Drosophila melanogaster: one gene and its partners. The protein of the gene in region 2 interacts with the protein of the main gene of each other region in a pairwise test. Each region holds a gene or a part of one and is shown on either strand. Other genes may lie near its edges.

The links.
Region 1: the proteins of Gsc (region 2) and CG31740 interact in a two-hybrid assay, tested with the Drosophila melanogaster proteins (one large-scale study listed by BioGRID).
Region 3: the proteins of Gsc (region 2) and otp interact in a two-hybrid assay, tested with the Drosophila melanogaster proteins (one large-scale study listed by BioGRID).
Region 4: the proteins of Gsc (region 2) and Orai interact in a two-hybrid assay, tested with the Drosophila melanogaster proteins (one large-scale study listed by BioGRID).

What each region holds. Positions count from the first base shown.
Region 1 is NT_033779.5:18,003,437-18,010,194, reverse strand, and holds CG31740 (uncharacterized protein), read right to left. Parts: upstream 1,243-6,758; 5' UTR 1,097-1,242; intron 961-1,096; 5' UTR 888-960; coding exon 702-887; 3' UTR 501-701; downstream 1-500. Other genes in the region: CG42635 (uncharacterized protein), read right to left, coding at 1,369-1,767; CG42634 (uncharacterized protein), read right to left, coding at 1,857-2,201; CG42659 (uncharacterized protein), read right to left, coding at 2,478-2,627; CG5693 (uncharacterized protein), read right to left, coding at 3,194-3,412.
Region 2 is NT_033779.5:589,894-598,112, forward strand, and holds the start of Gsc (goosecoid), read right to left. Parts: upstream 4,793-8,219; 5' UTR 4,488-4,792; coding exon of another isoform or gene 4,314-4,487; coding exon 3,695-4,313; intron 2,741-3,694; coding exon 2,379-2,740; intron 1-2,378.
Region 3 is NT_033778.4:20,898,467-20,906,872, forward strand, and holds the start of otp (orthopedia), read right to left. Parts: upstream 4,949-8,406; 5' UTR 4,320-4,948; intron 3,828-4,319; 5' UTR 3,593-3,827; coding exon 3,562-3,592; intron 164-3,561; exon of another isoform or gene 1-163. UniProt on the Drosophila melanogaster protein: May be involved in the development of the central nervous system.
Region 4 is NT_033778.4:17,849,350-17,857,446, reverse strand, and holds the start of Orai (orai), read right to left. Parts: upstream 6,586-8,097; 5' UTR 6,350-6,585; coding exon of another isoform or gene 5,987-6,349; intron 4,153-5,986; exon of another isoform or gene 4,107-4,152; coding exon of another isoform or gene 3,186-4,106; exon of another isoform or gene 3,151-3,185; intron 2,308-3,150; 5' UTR 637-2,307; coding exon 1-636. Other genes in the region: CG30323 (uncharacterized protein), read right to left, coding at 3,186-4,106. UniProt on the Drosophila melanogaster protein: Pore-forming subunit of inward rectifying Ca(2+) release-activated Ca(2+) (CRAC) channels.

The DNA of each region.
Region 1 (6,758 bases), about 17 Mb from region 2:
AAGCAATGAAAATTCCGACCTACCGCAATAAATTCCGCGGAAAAACAAAGCAAGTGATGCCAAAATAAGAGTGAAATGGCCAGCTCACACACACACATGAATGTAAATGAAGTGGAATCACCACCTCAGAAAAACTCAGGGACACCTCAGACACGGCCCTGTAAATCGCGCTTATCCAAAACACAACATGGCATCAGGAGGCATTGGAGATTCAGTTTCATTTTCATTCAAAGATTGAATAATAGAAGGGGGTGTTCCATCCCTACCCCAACAACCTTTGACCTGACACAATGCTCTACATTCTATGTTTTTGTTCGAGTTGCGCGTTCGAATCGCGACTGCGCAATAAACCTGATGCCCCAAACAGCTGTTCTAGGCAAGACCTAGGACAACATTTGCATCCTTAACTGGAGGCTGGCCATCCACGTTTACATTGACGTAATCCACTTGCCAGGTTGGATCTATTCGGTGTTGAGATATATCACAAAGCAGTTCCTTTTGTACTTTAATTCATTTTATTACTGAACAGCTTATAATAAAAATTCTTTATGTATACGAGAGCTTAGTTGGTTTAGCCCCGGCCAAGGCAAAAAGGAATTCGAACAGCAACATATTTCTCCAGCAGTCTTTTCCAGAAGGTTGATCTTTAAATTGACTTGTTACCGCTTGCTGCCGTATTAATGCCTATGATAGCGGGCGCTTCACCAGCCGCAAGGACACGAGCTGCAGCCACCACAAGGACCACATGGACCACAGCAAGGACTACAGCAACCTCCACAGGGACCACATCCGCAATAGGGAGTTCCTCCCATCAAAGGAGCCAGGCAGCCGGGTGGGCAGGGTCCAACGTAGAAGGGATCGAAGCTGCAGCAAAGCATCAGAACCATCTTGAAAGTTTGGATTTGGTAAAGGACACTGGAATCTCTTCTAAAATCTGCAGGAGGGGCTCAAAAGGTACGGCTGCAACCATTCAAAACGGGGTTTGTTATTAACAAAACATTACCAAATATTTAAAAATTACTATAGGGAACAAAGCAATTTTACAATTTTTAAATTGTATAACTTTTTTATTCAATTTTAACGAACTAGAACGTACCTGGGATTTTTTTTCCTGCTGAAGAAATACGTTGAAGTTAATCCTTGGCTACGAATTTAGAATTTTTGTTCAATTTTTCATATTGTTTTTTTTTGTGTTTTATTTTACGAAAGAGATGTGTTCAGTCCAAGCTGTTCAAAATGAATGAGCTCTCTAGGTTTCGAATCCCACAAAGCCCACAAGATGAGTGAAGTTTATTTCCAAGGCCAACTAGAGAAAACTAAAAATTTCCTTTTTTTTGCTTTCTATTCGACATAGTTGCTGACTAGATCCTACTCCTCTTCGGTTAATTCTGCCGCTGGCGGTGTTTCAGGTTTTACTACTACCGGTTCCGAGTCCTTTTTATCCTTTTCGTCTTCCTTGGAGGAGCCCTCGGAATTATGTTCACTGCCAAACTTAGGAAGCAATGGTCCTACAAAGGCACATGCCTTGCCTCCAATACTTTGTACCACGGAGCAGGCGCCATCCATGCGATCGCCCTCTACTAGAGGAGTTTCGCCCTCGACGGCGGACAGCTGATCCGCCACTGGACCACCGCGCCTCACAAGGTCAGCGATCGGATCACGGGTTTGGTTTAACACCCTGCCACCCACTTCAGTTAACGAACGGGAAACTACCATAAACAGGGCCACTATGCCCGCAACTCCGATGGCCGTGTGAACCATTTCCATATCTTGGGCAAAGGAGCAGGATCTTCTGGAGGATCAGGAGGGTCGATGTCGGATTTTTCGATCGACCACGATGACAAATAATTCTAGGGCTACTCTCCAGCCATCGCCGAGATGGTATTATAGGTCGAACGGGCCAAGTTTCGGATACTTCGCGAAATTTCATTTATCAGGTAGTTAATGTCATCCGAACTGACCACCTGCTCCTGGTCGACATGGTGCTCCGGCGTTGAATCGTTTACAATCAAGACTATTTTACGAACGGGCTGAATCATGCCGGATACATCGATCACGGGCTCCGACACATGGTGATCAACCAGAAATGCCTGATGCATGATGATCACCAATTGGCGGATTACTGGCACCACGCGATCGAGGACGTTGATTGCCATTGGGGCCAGTACGTGGTGTACCACGTGATCCACAGACGAGGACATGACCAAGAGACTTGAATTTTGAATTTAGAAAACTATTTTCACACAATTTGCGACCTGATAAACTAAAATTCCCAGGAGTTCTAATTTGAAATCTAAGCCATTTCGATTGGAATATTTATATTATTTCCCCAGCAATATTCAACAGTTTGGTGACGATGAATCAATTTTATTATTTCTCTACATAGATGTGTGCGAGGCTAATTGGTGTGCAGTTTCAAAGTTCAACTATATTTGTTCCCGCCGTTATTCTTGCATTTTATACAGGTACTCGTCTCGTCAATAGCTGCTATAGCAACGACTGTGCCAGCCACCGGGGGTGTATCCTTTGTAAATGTCGAAGTTGCACGGACATACTGCGCATCTCGGATAGGGGCCAATGTAGAAAGGGTTTATGGCCGGAGTCCAAGGACGACTTAAGTAAACCATTTTCAGCACTCGAAAGAAGTCTGCAAATCTTATTTTATAAATACATCTCCCACATTTTCTCTTTCGAAACTCACCGGAAATGGAAGAGAAAAATGAGAAATTTAAACAAATGTTTGACCAGAACAACACGTTTCGTGCTTGAAATTTGAATGAAGAAAATGCGTATGTACGCTTATGTGTTATTTTGTTGACATTTAAATCAAGAATGCTGGTTTAAATTTATTTGACTTCATTTTAGATAGATCATAAGAAAATGAATTAATTTTATCTGTATTTTTTATCCACAGTTATTTTGTGCTAAAATAGAAAAGAGCTGGTAATTTGAGGTTAATATATATTATTATTGTTTTTATTATTTATAGATATTCATTTTATTTATTTATTATTATTATTAATTTTTTTGAAATATAATGTTACAATATGACGGTTCGATGCCCAGGAGATGATGAGCTAAATGGGTTTAGCTCAAGATGTTTGAAGATATTAGCAACACACAACAAGGTTGTGTGTTCAGCACATCTCCAAAGGACTCCTGGTTCATTTTTGCAGCTTTGCCTTTTTCCCCACTACTTCTGTTCCCGGAGCTTCGGTTCTTTTTGGGCTTTCTGGTCCAGTGGTTGCTTCGCCGCGTCCTTGTTGGATTGTGGGGCGGGATTGCATCGGGGTAGTTGGGACTCCGGGCAAACTCCGCACTCCGGAACCGTGCAGTGGCCCTCCTCCAAGCAATCGGGGTCACAGCAGGGCGGATCGGGTCCAATGTAGCCCGGATTAAATATGCAAGGCATGCTGCAGCACCTCCACTGAAAACGAAGGTCGAGGCAGATGGCAGTGGCAAATTGGGTCCCACTTTATAGATTTTGTGAATTTACATAGATGCTAACTGGGTGCAATTTTCGGGCCGAGTGAGGCTCATAAATGTTCTCATTTCCATGGGTATTGAAACACAATGGAACGGGTAACTAGATGCCCGAGTTGCGCAAATCTCTAAACAAAGCTAGTTAATTTCGTACTAGAATCGATGCGAATAGCTCCCACATTGAACTCTATCTCCCAAAATCCGAATCAAAGTCCAATCGCCCTTAAAATCACCGGTTAGTGCGTGCAGAACGCTTATAATTATTTCATAATCGGGCAACACTTCAGTTTTATGGTGACAAAAGCCAGCGGAAAGATAACTGCAACTGCAGGCCATCGAAACTGGGCCACAAATGGCTGCAGGCACAAATATGGAATTTAAGTTGAAATTAATGAATAATTAAGCTGCTTTGGGCAGACGCTCGCAGCGGAAGTACAGCATTTGCATAGCTAACACAATGAACTACATACGGCCGGACAAGACTTGGCCGTTCATAAATTAGATATGCAAATGTAAATGCGAATGGAAAACTAACGGCAATTCCTTTGTCAATTAATCAATCAATCAACGCAGCCGCTCGCTGCGATCCAGAAAGCGATGCGGAAATCACTTGTCCCACATATGTACCTCTGCCCCCGCCCAGAAACTCCATCCATCGCCATTTCCCCCTGGCCACTGCATCTAGCTGCATCTGGCTGCATCTCCATTCATCTACATCACGCATGCCAATTTGCCTCAGCACGGTTTTTGATTGCCCGCTAAGTTCGGAGCGTTGTGAGCCCCCATCGATGCTTATCCCCCGGTTTTAAGGCGATGGCAGAGTCATTAGCATCAAAGGGCCATGGTGATATGACCAGCGCTCCTGGCAGCTCATCTGCACTGTGGTCTTTGCAGTGACCCAAAGAGTTTGAACCGAAGTGCTTTGACTTGGGTTAATTTGTGGGCTTTCAGCTTGGAAAGTATAAAAGTTTCACATGCATTGTTCAAGCACACAAAATACCGACAAAAAGACCGAAAAGGGTTTATTTTAATTAAATTGGATGTGATAAATCGAAAATAGTGATGTTTATGATTGAGGTAGATAGCATAATTTTAGTCAACACTTTAAGCTTATCATTATCATTAAAATATAAATAATTTTTCGGATTCGACCCACTGTGCAGCGTTGTCGGCTTTCAATGTCGCCGGCTGCAGCCATCAAAGTCGTGTGCACTATTTGTGTAATTTATATTCAAAGCGTAACGCGGTGCGTCGACTGCGTGTGTAGGTGGGTGGGGAAATGGGCGGTAAGTGGGTGTTGGGGCGGAGTGCTAGGGGGACGGTTCACTTGGTGGTTTTGGGACCGGTCACTCCGAGCAAACGGACTCTAGTGCCACTGAACTAAGTGCAGTCACGCGAACTGCTTTTAAGTGGCATAAGCAGAAGAACCCAATTCCTGCATAACCAATGAAGTTAAATATATTAGCTTACTCATTTTATTGCTCAGTTCTATAGACTAATAGTTTGAAACTAATGTGCAAAATCAATTAATTATTAAGAGATTCGAATGAGAAGCTCCTGTAACAACACATAACTCTCAGTGTAACCCTTAGATAGAACCCATCCACACTGCGACATTGTCTATCCGACTTCCGTTTGTCGGACGTAGTTCTATTACTTCTTGGATTCCGTTTCTGTTTTTAATAACTCAAGTTCGAACCCAAGTAGGCACACTTGTGCCGTCGTTACTGTTTGAGAAATGTATTGGAGGCCTGACAAAGTGACCGGAAGATGATACTGCAATAAAAAATGAGCACCCACGCAGCGACATGGAACACCATAGAGTGTTTGGCTTGGAAATAGAAAACCAAGTGCTGGAAATGAACATGAACCATGTTTTATATGCTCTGTGAGTTGTTGGATTTTCACTACTCGTAGTTTTTCTTCTTTTTCGTTAGCCATTTATTTACAAATGAACAATATTTATGGCCTCTTTTTGAAAGAGTTGCGCGGTCTGTGTGTATATATTTTGGGTTCCTATGCGATGGGGCCAGACTTCCGTCACAGCCAAAACATGGAAACGATCTGTTCATACTGAACATACATAGTTGTGTCTATTATTTTGTGGTTTTATTTCGGTTTTATGCGCGGAGCGTACCAAACATCGATTATGAATTACAAACTCTAAACGGATGGCAATCAGAAATGGTTTTGCTGAATAAATAATTCTAATTTGCCAGCAATTATGGGCTGTCAAATACGATTGTCCACTGATATGTTTTCGATGGTCGCGGAAAGTGTGAACTGAAGAACAATTAATAAATTTATAGTTTTGTGGTTACCGGAATGAAGTTTAAATGAATAACATTTTGGGTTCGGTTGACGGATTTGTCTAAGCTCATTACAATTGAGTTTTGCTTATGCTATCCAAAAAATGAGGTTTCAAACTTTATTGTATACTCTTAAAAACAGACTGGCTTGGGCATGAATTCTTATATGTTAATCCGGCAAAATATCCATGGATACGAAATCTAGATCTTCGAAAGCCAACTGGATTTATGGCTGTATAAGTAGCTAAAATTATTCCCAGCCTCTTATTACATCTAGCAAGTTGCAATTAGTGTTGTCACGGGAAGAATTTATGAGGAGCAATTGCAGAGGCTAAAACAGGAACCCTAAACGACGGCACTTAAGCGATCATAACTTTGCCCATGATAAATCGAACTGGAATAGCCTGCAGAAATTCCAGATTCTGGCCATGCAAAGCAATTGGACAAGTGGACAAAGGCGGTTACAAAGGCGAGGAAGTGGCCCAAAGAACCTCGAGCAGCTGCTGCCGCTGAAAGGCGAGACCGCTGAATGAATTGGGCTGTCGTTGTCTTGGCAATCAGCGCTACCGGGCATAGAAAGTTAACACACCCGAAACCGGCTTCGGTTTCAGTCGATGCAGCCAGTTGAATTTGCCAGTTGATGCACTGCAAAAATCTGCTCTCTTCTATACATAACTGGATATAGAACATCTATACATAAAAATCCATTTAATACAAAGCTAGATCAGTTTTAAGGCGTATTTAATAAATTTAAAAATTAATTAAATTTATAGAACAATTCTTTACTAGTCTATCTCTAGTTTTCTCAGTGCTCCAAAGTTGCTGCTTGCCAGTCACAAGTGGCAGGTTGCCAGTTGTCGCTGCCGCAAGAAACTTGCCTCCATACTGCGGCGGATGTGAGTTCCTGGGGTAGCAAGAGGAGCAACTGGTGGAGAGGGGCTTCTAAGCGTTTAGCTTGGCTTTTGC
Region 2 (8,219 bases):
AGTCTGAGAAGGGGTAACATCAATATTTGTGGAGTTGAGCGATCGAAAGGAGAGAGGAGCACAAATTATGCCAAGCTGATGATTACTAATTTCTTGGCGACGACCGAAGACAAATATTTGAAATGCCCTCCAGCCCAGCCATTCCTCCTCTACATCCCAAGCTACATATATCCCTCCATATCTGGCTGATCGGAGAACGAAATCACCTCGATCACTTGAGCTGCGGGATTAGGCGTATTTGACTTGCACGCACCACAGAAGCCAAGGCGAAAAAAGAGAGGCAGGCGGACAAAGAGAACGGGCTTGTTTGCTCTACAGGTAGAGCTACTGTTTGGCGTTCCAATCCCATACAAACCAATCCGATCCAATCCGGCTCGATCCCAAGCCGGCCGACCCTCGCCTCGAGTGGCTAAATAAAAATAATAATTGTAAATTATGAAGTCAAAATAAGCAGATCATTTAAATGCCGAACGATCCCAGGATGGGAACTGAATAGTTACGAGACGTTGGTCCGGAGCTCTGGTGTTTGTTTTCTGGTACTTTTGGTATGCACTTAGCTATATCTAGACTATATCCAAGCCTAACTAATAGACGTAACTTAGTTGCCATGTTTGGCTTTTGGTGTGTAAATGGGTAGCCTTTGGTACCCAATTGATCATCGACCGAACGGACTCTTTTCCGTTAGAGCATCGGATGTGTAGGCTTCGAATTTGTTCGCTTTTTTCATTTGTTTTCTCTTTTGTTATTGCTGCTGTTTGTCTTAGGCAAGATTTTCAATAATTATTGCCACTTATGGAGCGGCTGGGGTCTTAGAGAGACGGTCCCGAAATCGGGGGGCTCGGAGGCCTCGAGTGGCAACTCTTGGCATGCAAATATGCTAAACAGTAGCAGTCACAAAAGCCGGGGTTCCGAGTTGGAAGCCAGACCTGAAGTTGATTATGCTGCTTAAGTCAATGACGAGCGATGACTGAGCACAAGATTTGCTTGGGGATTGGGATTGCGATTGCTGCCGTCTCTTTCCTCATCCACTTTGCTTGTCAGAGACAAGTTTGAAGTCTCTTTTTGTGTGTTGTATGTTAATTAGTCGCCCCCGTGAGCCAGCAGATTCGAGTCCGCTGAATTCCAATTAGTTGAAGAGCTGGAAAATCTTCCCCACCTCGGCTTTTCATTTGCTTATCCTATTGTAGAACTCCTCCCGCCTAACAACCTCGCAACTTACAACTTACAACCTGCATTCTAATCCGCTTTGGATTCCAATGCTCGCCGCGGGTTAAATTTGTCGCCTAATCAAAAAGCGGGCGTCAATTCGCCTGCGGGTTGAGTAACGCCACGCCTCTCATTATCCTAAATGGTTAGTAATGTTAATGTGTAAGTTGTCTTAGGCTCACGGCTAAACATAAGCCCAAACCCTTCGAGTGTCAACAAATGTCGCACTTGTCCGCCTTCCTGCGCTGCGAAAGGTGAGGGTGAGATGGGGTTGGATGGGTTAGATTAAACATTTGACCGGTTGACAAACATATTGCCAGGGAAACGAAAACTAAGGGGGCCCGGAACCCGGGGCCCGTAGCCCGGAAAGCGTGGATAATCCTCATCAAAGACGCGAAATAGCCACCCATCAATGCACCAAAAATGTGAACAAATTAAATTGTCAACTTTTGTCGTCACTTTCTTCCTTGGTGACCTCTCAATTTGTTTGTTTGTTGTTGGGTTTCCTCGACACTAATGGACTTTGAATCACAATTGCCGATGTTAAAGGGATGGTTCATCCCCCGGGGTGGGATTTACAAGGGCGCAGAAGGCGGAATCCCTGCATATTTACATTACCAATGATACGATTCAGCAGTGGCAACCACCGACGAGCAAATAACCCTCACCATCCGTTTAAACATGCGGTTGTATCCCGAGTCCCATTACCCAAATTAAGTGAATCATTGGGATTGGCATTGTTTTGCTTTCGCCGGCGAAGAAGCCCCTCAAAATGTACGCCGCTGACAACTAAATAAACAAGTAGAAGTTCTCAGAGGGAGAATCTCGCTGGAGAGAATAGAGATTGCGATGCAGATGCCAGAGATTCGGATTCGGAATCTGATTCTGGTTAAGTGGAGTGTAGAGGAGCGGGGGTGTAGCACTCAATTGGTTTCACGCGGGGAATTAAAACGAGCGTGAAATTAGAGCCAAATGTTAAACACAGAGTGTGGGCGGCTGCTAGGAAGAACACAGTGATCAAAAGCTAAAGCCAGGCATTGATTGTTTTTTTGTGGTGACAAAGCGGCCTTAAAAAAATTACTTTAAATGTCTATAAAGTTATGCTTTAAACTTAGTCTTGCCCCCTTTTTTACACCTTCTTCGGCATTAAAAATTAGAAGCTTTAAACTCACCTCAACTCGTTCTTCTTTGAGATCCACCTTGAGGGCAAGTTGCTCCCGGAGCACCACATCTGGGTAGTGTGTTTTGTCGAAGGTGGCCTCCAGTTGCTCCAACTGCTCCTCCGTGAAGATGGTGCGATGGCGACGCTTCCTCTTCGGCGGAGGTCCATGACCCAGATGGCTGAGGTGGTGCTGTCCGTGGTGGTGTGCGCCCAGATGTGGATGGTGGGGGTGCCCATGGGGGTGGTGCGGATGGTGCCCGTGACCCGACAATCCAGCGGCTGCTCCACTCACATGTGCCTGCATCTGAGCAGCGGCCACATGCGCCACCGCAGCAGCGTGCATGTAGTTTGGATAGAAGTTGGGGTACGCCACTGTAGGGAAAACAAAAGGAAAATTCATTATTCCCTGGTTGGAATAACAGTCATATCATCATCATATAACTGGAGAAAAGAGGGCCACGGGAATGGGTGTAAGTGGAATATTCCTGGGTAAATCCTTAAAAATGCGCATAACGAACCGCGCAAAATAAAACTGCCGCCATTTTGGCTTACAGTAGACACAAAAATGGTATCAGTTCAAGTAAAATGTAAAACTATTTACCCTCTTCAGCATATGTTGTACTTGGAAAACATGTAAATATCGTTACGAAGAATATTACAATGATATATGGATAACATATTGCAAAAACGGATCTATTCCTTTGACCCCATCTGTAAACGTATGTGTGGCTTCCGTTTCCGGTTGCAGCAAGCTGGGGAAAAAAGTTGCGACCAGGTTTTTAATATTCATGTCCTGCGGGGGAGCCTTTGAATGAATTTAAGCGGTATTCTGCATAAATCTGCGCCTGAGATCCACGCTCGAATCAACACAAGGCCTGAGCCCATCTTAAAGCCACCCCAGCATCCCGGATTTCCCTGGTTTTTCCGGCCCAAGCTAAGACTTAGAGCCCAATGCAAATCCTCTCACCGCAAAATCGAAGGAAAATGGAGAGGAAATGCGGAATCATCTTTCACGGATCATTGCCTAATTATGAATAATGCCATTCAGGACTCGCTTCGGAATGGGTGTGGTTCGGTTGAGTGGGAGAGGATGAGGATGTCAGGATAAAAGTGGGTGAGTGGCTGAATGGGTGATTCCTGACTGCATGAGTGAGCTGCCTTAAGGTGATTTCAGAGTTTAGATGCATGAAATAAGGTATTTCAAAATGTTAAAATTTCTTTATCTAAAGAACCATCCTTTGAACTGGTTTCGTCTTAAGTTGTCTTCATAATGAAATTCAGCTGAGGGGGCTTGTGCGTTCAGTATAGGGGGATTGATAGACTTACCCAAAAAATCCGAGGGAGAGGCGGCAAAACCGCTCGCCGCTGCAGCCGCCAAGTGACCCAGATGCAGGCCAGGATGCTGCAGCATGGCAGGAACCCTCTGCGGTCGGATGGGACTGGCGGCTGCGCTAGAACTGGAGTTTGAATTTGGCGAGGCTGGGGACTCGGCGCCACTTCTTTTCAGACCCAAACTGATGCCATTCGAGGTGAGTCCATTTTGGTTGCCATTGCTGCTGATGTGGCTGCCTTGGCTTGGAGCGGTGCCTCCACCCTGTTGGCGAGAGCCCAAAATGCTGTCGATAGTGAAGAGAGACGCGGCGGCGGCTCCTCCTCTTCTCTCCTCTTCCAGAATGGTGACACCTGACTGGCTGCCATCATCGGAGGACGGAGTTTGACTTTGGGACTGCTGGTGTTGGGCGTGCTGCTGCTGGAGGACCGACTGCAATCGCTGGCCCAAGTAGCCGCATTGCTGCGAGTTCAGGAGCATGGCGGTGGTCAGGTGATAGGCGGCCGTGTTGCCAGGAGATCGCGAGATCTGCCTTGGAGGCTGCTGCTGCTCGCCGAGATCGCTGGGCGACCTTTTGAGGGTGTAACCCGCCGGCGGGGAATTTGTCTCTACCATTTGTGCCAGCATAGATCCAGCCGGAGGGGGCGTAGGCGGCGGGGAGGGGCTGGGCGTGCTCACGACGGTGATCTTGAACTTGGCCTTCGAGGGCGGAATGTCGGGCGTGGTGCTGGGAGTGGTGGTGGTGGTGCCTCCACCGCCTCCTCCAGGGGTCCACAGTGAGGAGAGAATCTTGAAGAAGTCTATGAAGCTTTCGAGTAGGAAAAAGTCTCTTCCCCACTGATTTTTTTTTAATGAAGCGGCACTTTTGAAGCACTAAGCGCTTTACAATTTTTTTTAATTCAGTAATGGTGGCAATGTTGCGAATATTAAGTCTAGGTTTTTTTCACTGGATTAGTGTGTTTTGATCGATGCCAAGTTCACTAAACCGCACTAGAAACACGCACTGCAATCGCGTCGTGATTTTATATTTTATTATTTCCACAGGTTTTCTGCCACCGGGAACCCTTCTTGTCCGCTCGAGCTGCGAAAGTGTTGTGAGAGCGTTCCGCCCGACAAGTTGTCGATTGAGTAGTCGTTAGGCCAGTTCCTCGACAGATATAGATACAGACTCTCAGATGCCAGATACAAACTCACATCTGCTCTCTCGTTTAGCGGACATTTTTCGACGTTGGCCAATGAAATCGGGGTGAAGCCACGCCCTCAACGCTACCATATTGCTTGGCAATACTCTCTGGCTTTGGACGCCTCTCCCTCTCTCTGTATCCTCCCTCCCTTTTTTGCTTTCCCTCTGTATCTCTTTCTCTCGCTCTAGCTGGTGGTGGTTGATGGTGTCGGGCCCCCATCTTGCAGTGTTCCAGGTTAAAGGCTGGCAGGAGGTCCAGGATAAAGATGGCGCTACAGAGATAATGCCCCATTCACCAGACCCCTCCTTTTCCACCCAATTCACACCAATGCTTCCATGTATTTTTTTGTATTTTTGCGCTCTCTACTTACTTTCTTTGGCCACTGACAGTTATTTATACAGATAAAGTCATCACTGACAGACCCCGCGGCCCCCACAGAAAGAGATAGCTGTCGAGGGAGCGATAGAGAAGGGAAGCGGGTGCGCAGGATATGGCAACAGAAGCTCTCTCGCTTTCACTCAGAGTGAGTAGCAGGGGTAGCATAAAAATGCTGATGGAAATTATGGGTGGCAAAAAGCCTGACGCTCTCTTCTCGCGTTCAGGGGATTCTGATACTCCACTGCCTCTGCTGGCGCCGTATCTTAAGAAGATAATGACTAAATTAATGCTTTTATGTTTCTGGCAACACATAAACATCATTATGCGCTCAATCCGCCCACGGAGAAGCGCTGCTCTTGCTCTTTCTCCCTTTCTGAGCTTTATCTTTATCATCATTCTTGCAGACGTTGGGAGCTTGAAAAGGGTTAAGGGGTGAACGTTTTATGTAGAAAGAAGCACGCTACTACTCGTACATAAAGATGAAGCTTACACTGGAGGGAGACTGGGAGCGCTCATTCAATAATCTACGGCACTTTGGTGACCCTCGTCGCTATTGTTTCACCTCGTGTGTGTGCATAGGAAAATATTTTAATCTAAAGTTTCCACATCAAACATGCCCAAGTGCAAAATCCCCAATGGCCGCCAGGGTTCGTTCCCTAGATATGCCCCCCCTCCTCGTCCACTCGAATGCAGGAAAACAAAAGCTAAGCTACGACTAATGATAAATGCAACTCTGCAAACCACACCCACAATCACAAATGGAAATCCAGCCAGGAAAAGCAAATGAACCGAAAAGTCCTTACAATGTCACCTATGTGGGGGTGAAAAATGGGGATCACTTGGAGAAATAATTCCCAAGTAAGGTCCATCTTTACATACTAACTAAACTTAATTCTGCTAGGAGAATCATGGAAGACGAGGCGTTCCTGATAAATTATCAATCAACACTGACTACTAAATTGGGTGGTTTCGAAATATCTTTAAATAATAAGAAAGTATTTAAAGGGCACCCAAATCGCTCTGTGTACTAAGATGGACAAAGAGGAGGGGTCCAGGGAGGGAGGCTTACATAAATGCAGATGTTTTAGTGTGTGTTGGGGGTATATGTGTTCAACTGATTACGGGGGCGCACGGAAGAAGAGGGGCGGTCCTGTCACATGCCGTAAAAGGATGAAAGGATGACGGCTGATGACGTCGCATGTGGCCAAATGCTTTTAGAAATTATTGAATAATTAAGCAGGCCAAGGACCGCAGGACCAGGATATTTCTGGTCCTCTTTCCCCTCCGATTCTTAGTGGATCCTGCCGCCCAGTTTTCTCTGGGCTTCGCTATTTGCCTTTACACTGAACTTCTTACATGGCCAACAACTCCCGACGGGAAAACCGATGATGACGATGTTGTAAATGTAAAGGAAATATTGAGTTGAGAATGGAAAAAGAGGAGGAAGCTCTGGGAGTGCGCTTCTCGCTAAGCTCAAAAGATGTGACGCACTTTTTTCTATTATTTTCCTCACAGAATTTGTTCAACTTGTTTTTTCACATGAAACTTTTTGTTGCCTTTTCTACCTACTCTGACCTCTGACCTGAATTCTTTCCCCACTTGCTGTGCACTTTTTGTTTTAGTTCGCAGATTGAATTTTAAATAAAAAATTAAATTAACTTGTCTAAGTATTGTATTTGGCTGAGTACCACTACCCCTTCGATTGGCTGTGCGAAAAAGTTCAATTGGCAAAGGACTAAGCAAACATTGTGGAATAAAAGGTTTTTCTACTTTTCCATTTGAGCGCCGGAGAAAAAGCGGGAAAAACAATGTGGAAAAAACCATCATCATCTTCAACTTTTTCTTGGCTCCCTCCCGATGATGATGATTTTTATTTCGATTTTCTGTTGCCATTTCTCTTTGAACGCCCACGGCCACATTTTCCAGTTGTGCAAAATTAGAAAAGTTTTCCCTGCTCTCTCTCTTTCTCTCTCTCCCTTTCTCCATGATTGTTTCCCAGAAGCGGTAAAACCGGGAGAGATGGAAAATAGACGGGGGAGGGGCGTGTGCTTTGCGTATTTGTCTTGTTAAAAATTTAAGCGAATTTCCTCGAGAAGCCAAATCGAAATCAGCAGCAGAATCCGCACCAGAATCGGAATCAGATTCTTCGGATTCAGCAGCCAAATCCCGTGCTGAGGATTTGCGATTGAGGCTGAGTCGCCTGCTGCCGACATTGATATGGTAATGAAGCTTCGACATCGGAATCGGGCTCTAATCCCCGCCAGCAGCAGCAACCCCTGGATATGTCTCTATATGGTCACACCGGTTTTGCTCAGCAGTCAATTAAACGTTTAATCCAAATATCGTTTTATACGTCGCGCAGTTGATCCGGTCGAAGGTTTTTCAGCGGATCCCAGAGGTACACAAAGAGAAATAGTTTATGGGTAATCAAACCTCGAATATTCCAAATGTCCTGCCCTACCTACGGATCCCATTCGATTCCGTGGCTCACGACTTATGGGCGTTTTCACAACGAAGTTTTAATGTTCCTAATTTTATTTACAAATTTCTCATCAGCTCTCAGTTCTAACCCTTTTGGACATTTAGACTCTCAGTGTAGGAAATAGAAGCAATTTATGGCAATGGCAGTCGCATCAAGGGATCAGTCAGCTCAGGGATCAGGGATAAGTTTAATCTTGCGATATGCGTAAGCGTGCAAATTGCATCGATTACGCATGGCGGGGAGGAGAAAGAGACGGAAAGATCGGATCAGAAAGAGAGGGCTGGATGGGACAAAAGGTGCAATAAAACCGAGAACCCGTGCGGATGAATGAGATGCGATGGAAGGAGCGACCTGGGGCGTGAGGAGAAACCAAAATGGTCGACAAATGGATCGCCGAATTAAGCCAGAAAGAGATAGCGATTCGTCGGAAAGAGACAGAGGACAGCCATCAGGAGCAGCTGCTTTTTTCCACATGCA
Region 3 (8,406 bases), on a different chromosome or scaffold from region 2:
ACACGTACGTCAGAAATGCGGAGCGATACAAGATACGCGATGCCATCGAATTCACTGGTCGCTCAGCAGTCAGCAGGTGAACGAGTTCAGGGCGTCGAGAGACGCCACATAAAACCATAAATATAAATATCAACAAATAAAAGATATGGAGTTCCTACAAGCGACATTCCCTGAAGCAGGCCGTTTGTAGTTGTTGCGTTTTAAAACGCTGCCCGGAAAGTGCTAATTTTTACACATACACCCAGTGCGGCTACTGTTCATTAGCGATTTTCAGATGGTGACGTCCCCAATCGGGACCAAACCAATCTCCCCACCCCTGCACCCATCGAAACTGCCAGCCCCAAAAGAGTTTCCAATCCGGTCGGAACTGAGACGCTGCAATTGTGGCAAACTGTAGCAGAGATACGAATGTATCTAAAGCTGCCAGCTCACTGACATATATTTTTAGGGCATTACGCAGCACGCACCGAATGGCGTTTAAACTTCAAACTCTCTGCTCGTGATTAGTAAATTTAAGGCGCGGTGTTAGGTGCGATATCTCCATCGAGTTGGATGCTCGATCCCTCAGCTGGAAATTCACGCTCGATGGCAACATCTCAAACATGTATCCGCTGCTGCGAGCAGATAGATACTCGCATCCATATCCACAGATACATCGCCGTTGGTCCGTTGCTCCAAAGAAGTGCGACTTTTAACATCCAACTGTTCCCGCTTCCTTCTGTTTTCTCAAATCGAATTTCAAATATTGTACCTACATACGATACGTATATGTATGTGTGTGTGTGTTGAATGGGCAGTGTGTTTGGGCCACGTTTGGGAGCCATAAAATAGCGCCACTTCTCGAAATCGCACTTAGCCGGCTAAAAAACACGACTCGACTCGGCCCGGCTTGGCTAGTTAGTTAGTTGGTCTAACTTTGATTTTTTCACCTCGCCTTTTACAGTTGTAACACATAAATATTAAAAAGCAGCAGCCCTAACTGTTCATCGTGTATGCAGATCAAGATGACGCAGTAGTCTCATTCAGGGCTAAAGTTTCTGCATTCTGAGTAAGCTATTAGCTGAACCTATTTGAGTTTTTATTAGAATGGAAGTTAAGACTTTACAGAAATATATTCTAGTAACCTATTTAACCACTTGTCTTACTTATATTAAAGTTTTAACTGGATGCAAAGTGTGTTTATACTTTCAAAAATTTAATTTTGATTTAAATTAAATTCACGCCTAAATCCATTACTAATTTTCCCATCGAACATAAGAAAGCTGGCAAACATTTTCCAAAATCTGCGTGTTAACCGCAAAACTGGCATAAAAACCTATCCATGTTCCCAAATCATTAGGACGCGTACTAATAGGGCATAATTTTGTTATCTATCATCGTAATTTAGTTTCGGTCCTCCATTTGCTACCTGGCCAAAATTGCGATAGTGTTAATACGAAACTGTAAACATTGCAGTGGCAACACAGATACACAGGACGCAGATACGTAGATTTACATCTGGCCCGAAGCGAACATTTTAGTTGGTCCGGCGAGAAAGAGGAGCGAAACGAAATGAAAACCGCACAAAGCGATTAATTAATTAAAATTGGCAAACATGAATTTATCGCGCAAGCAATTTGCACAATTTGCGCAAATCAGTTTGCCTGTTTTTGGGAGCGAACGACGCGATTTCTCCCGCAAAATATATGGACCTGGCCGGAATGGCCAGCCGAATGGCCAGAAACGGACTTTCATGGCCGAGCACTTGCATCCAGATTCGCCGTCAGTTGCATGTGCATTCAGCAATGTGCATAATTATTGAAATTTGGAAATTGTGCGGTTTTTAGCAGGACATAGGCTTTGGCCTTTGGGCCTCGAGTTGGCAAACTACGATGCAGATCGCTCCGATTCGGTTTGGTTTGAAATGGAATGGAATGGCATGGCATGGCATGGCATGGCATGGAATCTGGGCTGCTCCAACAACTAACCGCAACTGGGAACAGAATCCGCAGCAACCGCAAAACATTTCAATGCAAAGCGGATATGGCAGTGGGGGGTTAAGCGGTGTTCAGCGGGGTTAAGCACACATATTTCACTAGCCTAGGCCACCGCAAAAATGCCGAACGCACAAAGCGAAGCACGCGCAGATATTTCGTGGATGCAACGGACGGGTGGGGGTAAACCTGAAGGGGGTCTGTGCAAATTACAAATGCAATCATGAAATTAATTTAATTAATGCGAGGCTCACGAAAAAAGCGCCCAAACGAAACGCCATTCGAGCTCCTTTCGCTGCATGCAAATTAAGCATTAGTAGGGGAGAGACAATACGAATCCGGGGAAAGTTCTGCCATTTCTTTTGCATGCAAATTGCTCTTAATTGTAAAGGGGTGGTTAGGGGGGCATCCACTTTTGCCCCTCTCGGCCACGCACCCAGTATGCAAATGTTTTTTGGCCTCTCTGTTGTGCGAAACTCGGAAAAAGGCTCACGAAATTTATTATGGCAGACTCCAGCACTGCGGGCAGGATTTGTCCAAAGGATTCCGCACTGCGATTCATTGAAATTTATAGTTCTTCGTGGGCAAATGGAGCTGGCTAAAGTTGAAGCCGGCGAAAACTTTAAAAGCCAACTTTGGCAGTCGCAATCCATGGCAGATAGCAAACCGTCAGATCAGTTTCGCTTGCTAGCCCTTAATTAAACACCCATCTTCAATGGCAACTATGGACATTACGCATACGCCGCGTGCACCGAGCGGCGACAATTGGCGCGTGAAAAATGGCAATAAATTAATAAAAGTAATTAATGGCAACGCTTCGAAGGACGCAAGGATGCTGGCAATAAAAATTGAATATAAACGCGAGCCATAACTCATCCATGGCTGCTGCAGTTGCAGTTGCAAATGCACTTGCAAACTGTATTTTCTGGTAGTGTTGGACGGCTAACAACAAATTGATTGCCAAAATTGAAAGTGCTTGAATCGTTGATCAACAGTGTGGTAAAAATAATTTATTCACCTGCACACACGCACATACATATGTACATATGTGTATTCGGAATTATTAATATATTAATATGAGGACACAAGTACAGTTTGATAATTATGTGCGTGCGCCGGGTGAATGTGTGAATGTAATTCACAATTTGCGGCATATTTAAAAGAGCAATTATATCAATTAACACAAACACACCCACCCACACTCGATTCGGAATGGGCATAGGCATATGGGAATGGGAATCGGAGAAGGTTTGCCGAGTTAGTTAAATACACAACTTAATTATTGCTAAATGCACGCGACACCTGGCGCCATCTGGTTAGACGTCTCAATTATAGGCCATTTAGCAGACATGGGAGATGCGATGGCAATCGCCAGATCGGAAGTACGACTAACTACCCCTCCGATCTTTTGTGGGTGTGCTCAAGAAATTAGTTTAATTATGGCCAGGCGGATCGTATGCCATGGATTAATACACACATTATTATACATTAGCGCAATTCACTTGGCGATCTTAATTGCAACATTATACGCAGCTCCCGCCCGCAGCCCGCACTTAAAACGCTATCGAGGATTGGGGGCGTAACTTACCCAGCACATTGGCCCCAAGATTGTTCAGCATGTTTGCCGAGAAATTGCGGATCGACAGAGTCGACAGTTTGTCGCTGTTTCTGATTGCTGCTCCGAAAGTTAGGATTCGGGATCCAATTTGATTGAATCGGGAATCGATATCGACTGGTGGTGGCGGAATCCCAATGGGAGTTCCTGCTCGTATACTCGTCTATCACAGAACGTTGGAGTTGAAGTTCACCTGCGGTGCAAATTACATCTCAATTGTTCGGTGGAAATGGGTGTGGCTGCAAGTAAACAGATTTGTTATTTTTGGATGGGTGGCTTCTGCTCAACGCAAATATAAACATACATAGGTGACTTTGTGCTTTTTTGGAAGTACTTGTTAATTTTCAATACTAAAAGTTTTTAAATTGACAAGAGAAAATGGTCATTAACTTGTTTAGCAAAGTTTTTGTTTATGTTTATAGTATACAATCATATGCAATAAAACTGCTTACAATGTATCAAGATTTCTGGAATCATAAATGAATGTTTGATTTTTGTCTTGGCAAAACATTTAAGTATACTAATTGCTCGTGTGTTGTGAATATTTGGCCCAGCCCTCTCTTGAACTTTGACCCCTGTCAAATGTCCAGCTATTTGGGTAATTTAACTATTGTGCGACTAACCAGAAAACTAAATCCGTTTCACTTTCCTTAACCGCAGAAACTTCTGCCGAAGTTCGATTGTGTGGGCATTTGCATTGAGTTTTATTGCTCATTTGGCCAAGGACTCACCTGGCTCCTCCTATCGCTCGTCCTTTTTCCGCCTCCTTGCTTTTTGTGTATGCCACAGGGTTATGGGCTGGGGTCAGAGTTCAGGCCAGCAGACGATCAAATTGCCATAGTAAAATTAATTAAATGCCTTGACCATAAAAAAGCCAAAGAAATTAAATCCAAGTCACTTGGCCGGAAGTTGAAAAGTTTCCTTAGCTCCCACACACACACACACACACGCGCACAGCTGGCACACACACACAATCGCACTCACAGACACGCAGACATGCACAGCTTAGGGACACGCAATGAAACGGAAGTCGAATCGTTTATTGATGAACTGTTTGACCAACTGACAGCCGGACACTGTCCGGCGGAGGACACGGCTTGCTTCCACCTTCGGGTGTGGTCACTCGTCCTTGTTTTCTACTGTTTAATTGATAGCATTTTTACACTTCGGGCACATTTTCACTTAGTTATTCCTTGGCACTTCCCAGTTAGATCAATTCGGTTAATGGTCTCTGCCAGTGCGACGGCTTTCTAGGCACTAGCAAACGGAAACGGATCGAATTGTTTCGGATCGCACTATTGTATCGTATGGGAGCTGTACGCCGTATACGTAGCGCTGCTCGCTTGCATTTGAGGGCAGTGCGAAAAAATCAAAGCGAATTGACTACGAAACCTGATAACTTCGACAACAACGACTGCGCACTGGCGCCGCATTCAATCGCCACCCCCTCGCACAATTGACGGTTAAGTCAAGCGTTATCTCTGCCAGCGGGCTTATCTCTCGCATTGATTTGCAAAAATCGCAAAGAGCACACACCGTGCCAGTGCCCCGGGCGGGCGAGGAAAGGAGACAGCTAGCTGAGCCCACAGCCATCTTGCCGTCGAGCCAAGCATGCTGACTCGTTCGCGCTTGCCCTGCCAAGTGGTTGCTAGAGCGGGTCGGCTATACTCGCTGTGCGTAGGCCAGACCACGCCCTCAATGCAGACCAACGAATGAGGGAACTCGGGAGCTTGTGGCCCCGAACGATAGCACTTTTTGGCGCCCTCGGCGATAACAGGTCCTGCCGCCTATCGATAGGCGGGCTATCATCGATGCCGAAACAGACCTCGATTCCCCTCGAAAAACTTCAACTATACTCCACAGCTGGTCGCGTTGGCAACCGGCGCTTGGGCCACAGTTATTGCTGAAAGTCCACTCCTCCCAAAAATGCGCCTTGAATTCTTACTCAGCGTTGTTGATGCCACGTGTCAGCTTTCAGCCTCACCTGTTGTCGTTTATTAGTTTTTGTTTCCGTTTTTTTTTTTTGCCCGTCTTTTTGCTGGAGGGGAAGTACCTCCGACATTTGGCGGAATTTTATAATATTTTGCATGCTGCACAAACGTTGAATTAGCCAGACAACGGAATGCCGGGCGAAATAAGAGTTTGTCATGGCAACCGCAATTCAAAGGATTTCCACCCCACTTCCTGCGCCCAGTTCAAAGTCCTCCCACCGCCCCTCAAAAGTCTGCAAATTATGTTGGCCTTCTCCCTCCGACAAATACATACAGCTAAATCGGGGGCGTTAATTAAAAACTCTAGGTAGCAATTAAAACCACAAGAAGAATGCAAAAAATCGCAGCAGTTGTAGTTTGTTTTGCAATGAGCATAATTCAAGGTTCACACTTGTGCGGGGTGACAAACGTTCTAAAATAATTTAAAAAATTTAATAAGTGGCGTAATAAATTTAGATTGATAATTGTACACAACCTATTAAGTCTTGTATTTCACAAACTTGCATACTAACGTGTGAAATACTTATAACAATCCCACACAAATGTCGAAAACATCGAACAGAAATTTTTCTGTTAGTGTATTATAAAGTAAACAAGCCGAATAAATCGTGATAACATCTCAATTCGTTGTTGGGCTCACTTATTAGAGCATATGCATCACTTTTCATTTTTTTTCCTTTTCTCACATGAGGTACATAAAAAAACTTCGAGTGTGTTAATTAATCAAAGGCGTTATCGGCAGCAAAAAGAAAAATAAATTTATGGGAAATGTGCGGCGTAGACTTGTTGAATTTCGCCATATTAGCCAAGGATTAATCATCTAAGGAGTCTCAATTAGACCGCATTTTGAATGCCTGGCATGAGCATGTCGTAAATCACTTTGGCCAAATCCGGGCAGCAGATAGTGACTGTGACCAGGACAGCTGCGAAATCCTTGAGTTGCCGGGACCGGCATACCAAGAAGCATGGCGGAAAAAAAAAGCGCAGCTCAAATGCAAAGGATTCCGAATCCTTCGGCATGCACGACGTTCTCTTTTGACTTTGTTTGGCAATCGTTTAAGCCCGGAAAGTCGATGATGGAGATTTCAGTGTGGAGGGCTATGTGTGGAGAACCAGAACAAGTACGTGCAGTCAAACAGATTTCCAGTTAGCAGCTCACAACAATTCGCTTTTAAGCCAGCGCATAAATCAACCTCAAAAGATATCCCCAATTTTTCGGGTCAGGGGGATGCGGCGGGCGAAAGCGTTAAATTTCGAGGGGGTAAAAGTTTTTTTTTCTCGCCTCCGCGGCATTTTATTGAAAGGATAATCGATTGCAGCAAAAATGCTGGCAAGGCATTAAAGGATTCGACTTTGGGCAACTTTAAAAACTTAACCCAAGGCGATGTCGACGAACTGAGCGATGTGAAATGCTGCTCTTTGCGGTCAATTTAATTGAATGATGAATTGCGTCGGACACTTGGGAGGTGGGGTTCGGATGCCGCAGAAAATTCTTCAGTTGTCACGGGTACTTGTAGCCGAAGGATGAGATGAGTGGAAAGAGATGGGACACTTGGGGCGGCGTTGGAAGGAGCCAGAGAAGGGGCTACGACAAAGACGAATACGCATAATCAGTCAAAATTTATGACAAGCTCGAACCCGAAAGTCAGCTTAAGCATTTAATTGGCCCAGGTCCAGTTGGCCGTCCCCCCAGGACAGTCCTAATTAGCATGGGCATTCATGTACATGATGGAGTCCATTTTTTGTCGCCTCCCACTACTCCACGCTCCGCTTGCTCCTAGGCTGCCATGTGTTCCCGGAACCCAAAGAGATTTTCACTGTTTCTCGACTCTGACTGATGAGTCCGCTGGTGAGCTCGGGTGTAATTTGTCTAGGCCAAAAAAGGGATTCTGGCCTCCTTGACGGGCACAGAGCGAGTGGAGTTCAAAGTTTGCTCCTCCAAAAAAAAAACATCCTTTTGTCACTGCCTTTCATTTGATTCGCGCTGCAAGGAGGCGCATAAAAGATAGATAAATAAGAAAAAAAAAACCCTGAGGAGTGTAAAACCCAAAATGTTGAGCTTAGTGCAGTTTCGTGTAACGCATTATTCTTGCTTAACATTTGTCTGTTTCTTTTCTTTCCTTTGTTTCGCTGTTGCCACTCTAAGCCAGTTTCAATACAGTATCAAGTTGCACTGAAAATTGGCATAATGTCTGAAGCTAAGTGCGCTTACAACTAAAAACATAACTACAAGCATTAAACTCAAATATTGAATTAAAGTTCTCGATTCTGCTTCGCTCGCAGCTGCAGAATATAGTCCTTCCTATGATATGTGCAGGCAAATATGAGCATTAACAAATATATATATACGTATATCTATATGTATATATTTTATCATTACAAGCTAAAAACTCTCGCTTTCTTTGCTTAGCAATCAAACGACTTTATTTACTTGGACAAATTAAATTGAAGGGTTAATATACGTGAATATTTAAAATCGAAAGATCCTACGCTTTTGTACTCATTATGTTATATAATTCAATGTTAAATAGAGTTATATTTTATTTCATTTTATATAATAAGCTTTGGTTGTTGAACTCAATAAAAGCTTTCTGTAGATTTTATACTTCTAAATGACACGCTTTTGAACACATTGCAGCGACATCTATCGTCAAAACGAGATCTGCCTGTGTTTCCAGGAACGGCCGGGCTCATCGTTACCAACGGTAGATGGCGCCAGTGCAACATTAAGGACCTTTTCCAATTTCAAATCATATTAATCTCTCAAAGCGCTGTAAGAAATAAGAAATGTTTATGTCACCCTTACTAATTCTTTTTATCTGAATAA
Region 4 (8,097 bases), on a different chromosome or scaffold from region 2:
GCGTCTCGTTTGCGGCGAATTCGAATTAAACTGGCTGTGATAGAGATACCGCGACGACCCCACAAAATTGCTCGCTCTCAGATTGCCCAGCTGGTGAGCGGGCAGCTGGTGGTGCAGGGGCTGGGCTGTCTGGGTTGTCTGGGTGAGGGGCAGTTGGTGGGCGTGACCGAGGTTCGGTTGCGGGCGCATATAATCGCCGTAGTCACCGGTTGCCGCTGTGGCTGTAGCCGCCGCCGTATAGGCATCCACACTGGCCGCCAATCTGGCAGTGGCATGCAGAGCGCTCGCCAAGGCCGAGGCTGGCTGCCGAATCCCCAAGCGGTTCGGCTGTGGATGCACCTGGTAGCGCCTCGATATCGGCATTACATCCAGGGTCTCACTGCTCGCCGTTCGTTCGGTTGACGATTCGAAGGAGCCCTGCTGGTGGCTCAGCATCAGGCTGCTCTGGCTCAAATTGGCCCGGGCATAACGCAGATTGCTCGTCCCGCTGCCCGGCAGCAATTGCTCCTCCTCGTGATCCTCCGCCGGCGTTTGGGCGGCCTCTTGGTCCGCTGACTTCATCTTCTTGTGGCGTCGGGGCGGCTTTAGAGGTATCTGCTCCTCTGGCTTGGATTCACCCTCTTCAAAGGGTGGCATGGACTACTCTCGCTCTCGGATGGATCAGATATAATTAGTCTGATAAATATTCTATGCCCTCTCTTTGCGACAATAAATATTAGCCAGTTAGTATCTAAACTAGGCTAAGAATGTATCTTTTGCTGTTAGTTCTCAGTTCTAAGAAAAGCAACAAGTCCGCTTCAACTTGAATTTTGATTCTGTATACAGTCTAATAGGTTCTCCTTTCTAGTGTTAAAGATCCTAGCTTACTAATATTTCAGTTCTCAAGCTCTTTAGCAAGATCTAAAGTGAAAATATCGAAACTTATGCTCCACAAATTGTACCGATCGGCTGCCTTCCAATGTCTGGCATTTGTTAATAAATAAAAAAATATTCCATCAGGTCATTAAGGTCCCATGTTGGTTATCGACAACGCCCTGCCTCAATTATGGAGCACTTTCTTAGAACGTTTCAATTTGCCGTTGTGTTGTTGCACAGCACTTGATTCGCAGTAGTTATATTATTCATTTCTTAACCATTTGAACCTGGGCGTTATGGATTTTAATGGCTTTTCCATGGATATTTCTCTCTCGTCTGGCGGCTAAGGAATATTTATTTTATTGACGACCTTTTACAGTTTTTGGGTCTTTGGAATATTAAAGTTATTACTCTTGATCTTGGCGACTTTTCATTCCATTGTTCTTGGTTCTCGGAAGTATCAACTTATTGCCGAACTCGTGATTTAGTCTTATCGTTGTTTTTTTCTGGTTTTAGATATACATATGTTTTCTTTTATGCTAACTTCTGTCAGTGAATCACATCGACATATGTATTTGCATTGATATCTTGCGGATTTCCGAATGCCAGTAACGACGATTCACTGTACTTGGTTGGCGGAGCGCAATCTTTGTTCGAGAGAGTTCGTTTGCCACTTGTCACTGTAATCTCGTTGCTTTCAGCGATTTTCATTAGGTTCCGTTTCACTTGGTTGATTTTGCAATACTTCCTCCCATTGATGATGCTGAATGATTTTCGCTGGGTGTTATTGTTTTTATTTTTTTGCACATGACAATTGATCAACAATTATCCACACACACACACATACACGCACGCTGAAAATTTGTGACCCTCTTCTCTCACTCTCTTCACCGCTATCTCTCTGTCTTTTTGGGTGCGTTGAAATATTTACTTTTTATTTATAAACACACATTTATGGTTCTTATAAAATGTAAAATACGTGTGTCAATAAAACAGTTTTTCGCAGGCACTTGTTGCCGACTTTTTCACATGTTTTTTGTTTTTTATATAAATTTTTTTTTCATATGACCGAAGCCAAGAGTTGTACCCTAACGACTGCTAGCTGAGAGGAAAGCACGAAAAGCTAGGAACTGAAACGGAAAACAGTCGCGGATGCTGGCGACACTTCCGCAAGACAAAAAAAAAAATAAGAGCCACGCAAGAAAAACGACGAATCGAATAGTAATTCTTGCCTTTTCGCCACGAATTTAATTCAGGTGCGCGGTGCACATTCGATTCGATTTCATTTCAGCGTCCGCGTTTCGCTTTTAGCGCCTCTTGTTCCTTCGGCGATGGCAAGTTAACAACTAACTGATACGGCGGCTCTGCCCAGAGCGGTAAGCACCGGCGGTGAGCGGCGGCGACGACGACGTATATTCAAATTCGACAATCAATTTGAACGGTGCGGCCTGCCTGCGATGACACAAAAAACAACAACAGCTACTATAATGGCAATCGAACTATGACAGTAAAGCCTCCCAAGCAACGAACTTATATAAAAACATAACAATCTACGACAGAAGAAATATAGATACATTTACCGAAAATTAAAAGAAAACAACGAAATACGCCAAAAGATACAACAAATATAAACTACTTTAAAAATAATTTTGTAATTTAAAAAAAAATGCTTCTAATAATATACTAATTTTCATTGGTAAGATTTTTTTTTAATTATAGTTATTCAGTAGGACTAGCAAAAGTTCGGGTTAGTGAAGTTGCACTGTACAAAACAACCATTTCAATGAAAGCGTTTAAAGAGAGAGTGGGTAAGGAATAGAAACGGAAAGAGAGCTAGCTACCAGACAGTAAAAGAATCGAAAGAGGCGAAACCAAAACTACAGGAAAACAAAAAGTAACAAGGTGAGTGGGTGAGAAGGGGAAACGGGGCGGTTGGTAAGGGCTAGGGGCTAGTGTCTGCTGCTACTTTTGGCAATCGATCAGCGATCATCAAACTGATGAATGGGGAAGACAAATCGAGTGATTAAACACACGCACACACGACGACCCTGAACTTCAACTATCGAGATTCAATCAAGATCCAATTCACAGACGAAAAGTCACTCGAATTCACGGACACAATGCTCTAAAAAACCATATTGTGGGTCAATATCCTACGACAAGAGTACGAGTAGGTGGTAACACCGCTTATTGACATTATTAAACTGAAGTCAGAAACTATTTAAAAAAAAATGAGTCAGTACTTCATTATAGATATTTTGAGATCTACTGTATATAGTCCTTTAAATATGTAGAATGTATCCTGTGCTTTCCTGTTTGAAATATCATATTCAATCAGATGAAACTACCGAAAGCGACGCTAACACCAGTAGAAGTAGAAGTAGACGAAAACATAGGACTCTTTTTGGCCAGGTTGCGCCACTCAAGGTGTCCTCGATAAATTTGCGGTTTTGATAGATATTGGTGTAAAACATGAAGCCCTCATCATCGCAGGTGTGCACCCGACGCGCCACGCCGTACAGGAAGTGATCGCAAAAGAGTGGACTGCCCAAGTCCTGCTGGCACATATTGCCCCTGCCCGTATAGCTAGTCATGCACAGGCATCTGCTGCAGTCAGGCTTGCACTCATACTCCGAAATCTTTTGAGCTCTGATTTGAATAAGCTCGCTTGAGTAGGGTCCGTCCTGGAACCAAGTAACTGGGTTATCATACACCATGCTGAATGCGGGGCACATCGCAGATATATATACATAACTTACGTAGTAAATCCTGCCCCATCCGAGAGAGTTGCAAAGCCAAGTGCTATTCAACTCCTTTTCCGGCAGCATCATGGCAAACCTTTGGCCAGTAACGCCGCGATCCAGCTTCAGCAGAGCCAATTCTGTGCACCCACTTATGGCGGACTCGTCCAACACAATCTTCTGCACGTGGTATATGTTCTTGGGAGATGGCTTTTTCAATCGCTTGGGCGTGAAGACGACAACCCTTAGATTCTTGCGATTACTCGGCTGGTTTGGGGTGCTCTCCGGCCTGGTGCTCACACAACAGCCGGAGGTGACGACCCACCAGGCGGAGAGCAGAGAGCCGGCACAGAAGTGGTTATCACCCCAATGGCGAATGTGTTTGCGCGTTCGTATAGACACCACATTCTGGTGATAATTGTCCGTTACGTAGAGGTTCCTCTGAAGCCCCTTCTTCCCTTCATTTGAATACGCAGATGAGGTCAGAAGAAGCAGGAGGAGGAACTGCATCCCAAATAAGGCGGATGGTACATATGAATAGCTTTTTTTTTACAGATAAAGTTGACAAAGTAATCAACAGCAACTTAGTTTTTGTGGGAATTTATACAAGAATTACTATTCTCTAAACTTTTAATACAAGTTCTATGGTCCAAGCAGCAGTTTTTGCATACTCTTTTGAAACGTCGAAAAACTATTGAACAAATAAACACAATTGTTTTCTCTATCTTTTATCGCATTTTTATGGAAAACATATGGCACGAGGATCATGCTGTTGAAATTGAAAACCAACACAAATGTACAAAAAATTATTAAACTAAAATTTAATATAGCTGATCGCAGGGAAACCAAACAAGTCGATACAACTGAATCCATCGAGATGGAAAGTGCCTTCCTTTTTTGGCCATAAACAAATACGAATCTGGCTAATGTTAATAATAACTTGGCCTGTCAAATGGAACCAGTTTGCTTGCGTTTCCTCCAGAATAAACAAAATGTAACCACTTAAAAAATGTGAGTAAAAATACATAAGACATAAGTCCCAGCCGATAAAGCAGCACAAAAAACAGAAGGTGTCAGCTGGCGGTTGTTGTTTCATTTTCACTGGCAAAATTCGTATGCAAACACACACCTGGATTTCAGAGACGCCGACCCAAGAAGCACCTCCATTTCTTTGCAGCTCGATGGGTGGGTGCGTGTATTTATTATCGCCGGTTAAATAAAACAAAATAAAAAATAGCGAACAAACAAAAGAACAGCAGACGCGATAAGAGAAACGTACAACTCTTGGAGCCAATTAGACGCCGGGTTCTACAATATTTCCATGACCATTTGCAATTTCATTGTCAGTGCTGTTCGCCAAAAACAACACTGTTCAATAATTCAGCAGGTTTGGCAGTTAACTCAGTCGTCATACCTGTGATTTATACGTATGCATGTGCGTTGCGTTGTGTGTGTACTTTCGAGTGTCTGTGTGATCTGGTTCGACTTGAAACGTAGGCCGTGTTTATGTGTCAGATTGCGTGGCTTAATCAAACGGGCGCATTCAGCAGAGTCTCGCGAATTCGGGGATATGAGTAATACGTGATTTATAATGGGACTCAGCGATTAGAAGTCCGATTTATTTATCACCGTTTTCGGAAGAACATATTTTCGCAAATATACGAGGATTCGTAAAATATATAAATATATATCCGACTTACTCACTGAAAAATGTTAATCGACCGTGTTTCAAATAACTAATTTTAATAAAAGTTTATTGTTTTCAATCACTATCGACAGACAGCAAACTTGAAAGTTTTTATACCAAATATTGGCATTCTCATTTCGGCCAACTGACTAACAAATAATACTTGTTGTACAACAAATTAGTTTATGTCCTTTTTATATCGTTTTTAGACACCTAAATATAGCTTCAGCTAAATTATGTAGAATGTACATATTAAATCTGGCAGCCCACTCAGCAAATGTCATTGCGCTTTCTTCGCTTTATTTTGATTGGGAAATTTTCTAACGGTAATCACACAAAAGAGAATATTAAAAAGTAAACTAATTAATGGCATGAGTACGGTAAATAAGTTTCATGATTGAAATTCCTTCTGAATTTTTACTAAATAATCTTAAAAGTCGATCTACATTTTATATGATATAAATCTCGTGACCGATCACCGATCACAGCTTACATGATCACAGAGCCGTGATTAAACTGCTGAATGCGCCCATTGTCAGCGTGTGAGAGAGATAGTGAGTGGAGAAGGTGGAAACAGAGAGATAGAGAGAGTTGCGAGAGAGCAGCTTCCATAGCATCGCTTTAAGATTGGGGTCGTGGGAGTGGGGAAAGTTCTGGTAGACAGAGATAGGAGATTGGGGAATTGATTTGTTATTGGACTTACCTTCGCCTGGTTCTGTGAGGAAGGGGGCGGGGGCGGCGGGAACTGCAGCAGCGAGTTGCTGATGCTGGTGCGCTGGAAACCTGCGCTGTTGTTGCTGTTGCTGCCGCTACCCGTGGGACTGTTGCTGTGGTGCTGTGGATGCGGATGTGCGTGCAGCGGGAACTGTTGCTGGAACTGATGACCGGTGGCCACTGAAGTGGCGGCTGCAACGGCGGCGGCCACAACGTGCTGGAAGTGGTGCTGCTGGTGATTTCCAGTGGTGATCACTGCAGAACTTCTCGCTGCCCGCGGAACCGACGACGTGATCGGCGACTTTGTTGGCGTCTCTAGGCCCGAATTGTTGGCCGTGGTCCACACAGACATGATTTTTGGCTAGCGATTTCTCCTGCGGATTTAAGTACGTCTGCCATGGTGCACGGAAAAACAGGCAAGCAAAAGAGTAACAAAATAAGTTAGGCAATTCGACACGTCGCAAATATAAGGTGCTAATTAAGTACGATCGGCGAGGTTTGAAAGTAAACTAAACAAAAAACAAATTAATTCAACAGCATTTCGATGCTTTACTTGTGTGCATGTATGAAATGACCTAACGCGTGACGCCAACATATCGATCTATCGATTGCACTAGTGCTGCCAGCCCTGCCATCAGCTGTTACCGATATTTTAAAGCAAAAGGCGCCAAATTTCTGTGAGATCGAAATATTTGTGGCTTACTGTGTTAGTGATTTTATATTTAGTAATTGGTAAGCGACACAGGCTAATTAATCATACGCCCCCTAAGTCACATAAATTAATCAAATCGTTTGCAGAACTTTACGCCCTGACACACATTTCAAATTGCCGATAGCAGTTGTTCGGTTCTTTTCCTATTTCTTGCTCTTGCAAAAACAGCTCTCTTGCCGTTTTGGTTTGCTAATTTTCTTTCACATTCTTCCGGCGTAGTCCTCAATTATTTTATTCTTGGTCTGCCCGTGTACTAACATATGTACATACGCATTTACATATATGTGTATGCACATTGCATCTGTCGCTACTCTTTCTGTGCTTTTTTTTTGTTATCCGCCTTGAACTTGCAAATTTTGAATGAGTGCGAGGAGTGCGGTATGGTTCTCGCATAACTGTGCTATTCGCCTTCTCTGTCAGTCTTCTAATATTCACACCCACAGTTTCGCAAGTGGCTTTCTTCGCTTTTCCACCCCTTATTCTTTGCTTGTTCTGTGGTTTGCTTTGGGAATTAATTTTAATTAATTTAAAGCGAGTCATGTGCCGATGAACAGACCTAGAACCGTTATCTATTGGATATGCCCAAAGCGCGAGCACTCACGTATGTAAGTATGTACATCCATATATCCATGTATGCATAGTAACAGTCGCGGCCAAAATAATAGGGGCTAAACCATAAATGACCGATATACAAATCTTCTTAAAAAACTCATAATTAACGCCGCATGACATGATAATCTATAAATGTTAGCTCTGCAGGCTAAAAAACACTCTTTAAAAACAAAATTTATATTATTGTAAAACACCTGCAGGAATGGAATGTTAAGTGGTAAATGTTTTCAATATCTTCTTTGTTTATAAAAATCTCAAAAAAAAAGATTATAGGTTACAAATATTATTTTAGTCTATAAAGAATAATGATGGCTTTTAACATAAGCAGTTCTGATTAGAATTTTGAGCTATATTTTTAGTGCATACTTTTCTGCACCCATAACTAAAATCTCTTTCGGCAAAATACAACAGTTTCAAGGAAACCAACAAGTAGAACTGAAAAAAGATCTAAAAGTTTTTTAAACGATAGTGTTGTAACTATAAAATTATCCTTCACACTAACTTTTAACAAAACGGTTTGCTGGAAAAAAAAAGGTTATTCAAATGAATTATAAATATCATCGATATTCCCTAACTTAACCTATACGTCTGTCCGTAGCTGTATGCGGACGTATTAGAAATTCCTTGTGAACCGTGCGTCGCCTTGAAGGTGTTACAAATGTGCGCAAATGCCATTATCGGTTATCAGGCGGCTATACCATATTTGTTTGGCATCCGAATAAGCGGGTCAGCGAGAGGGGTTAGGGCCCAATAATAATAATAATAATAATACACAT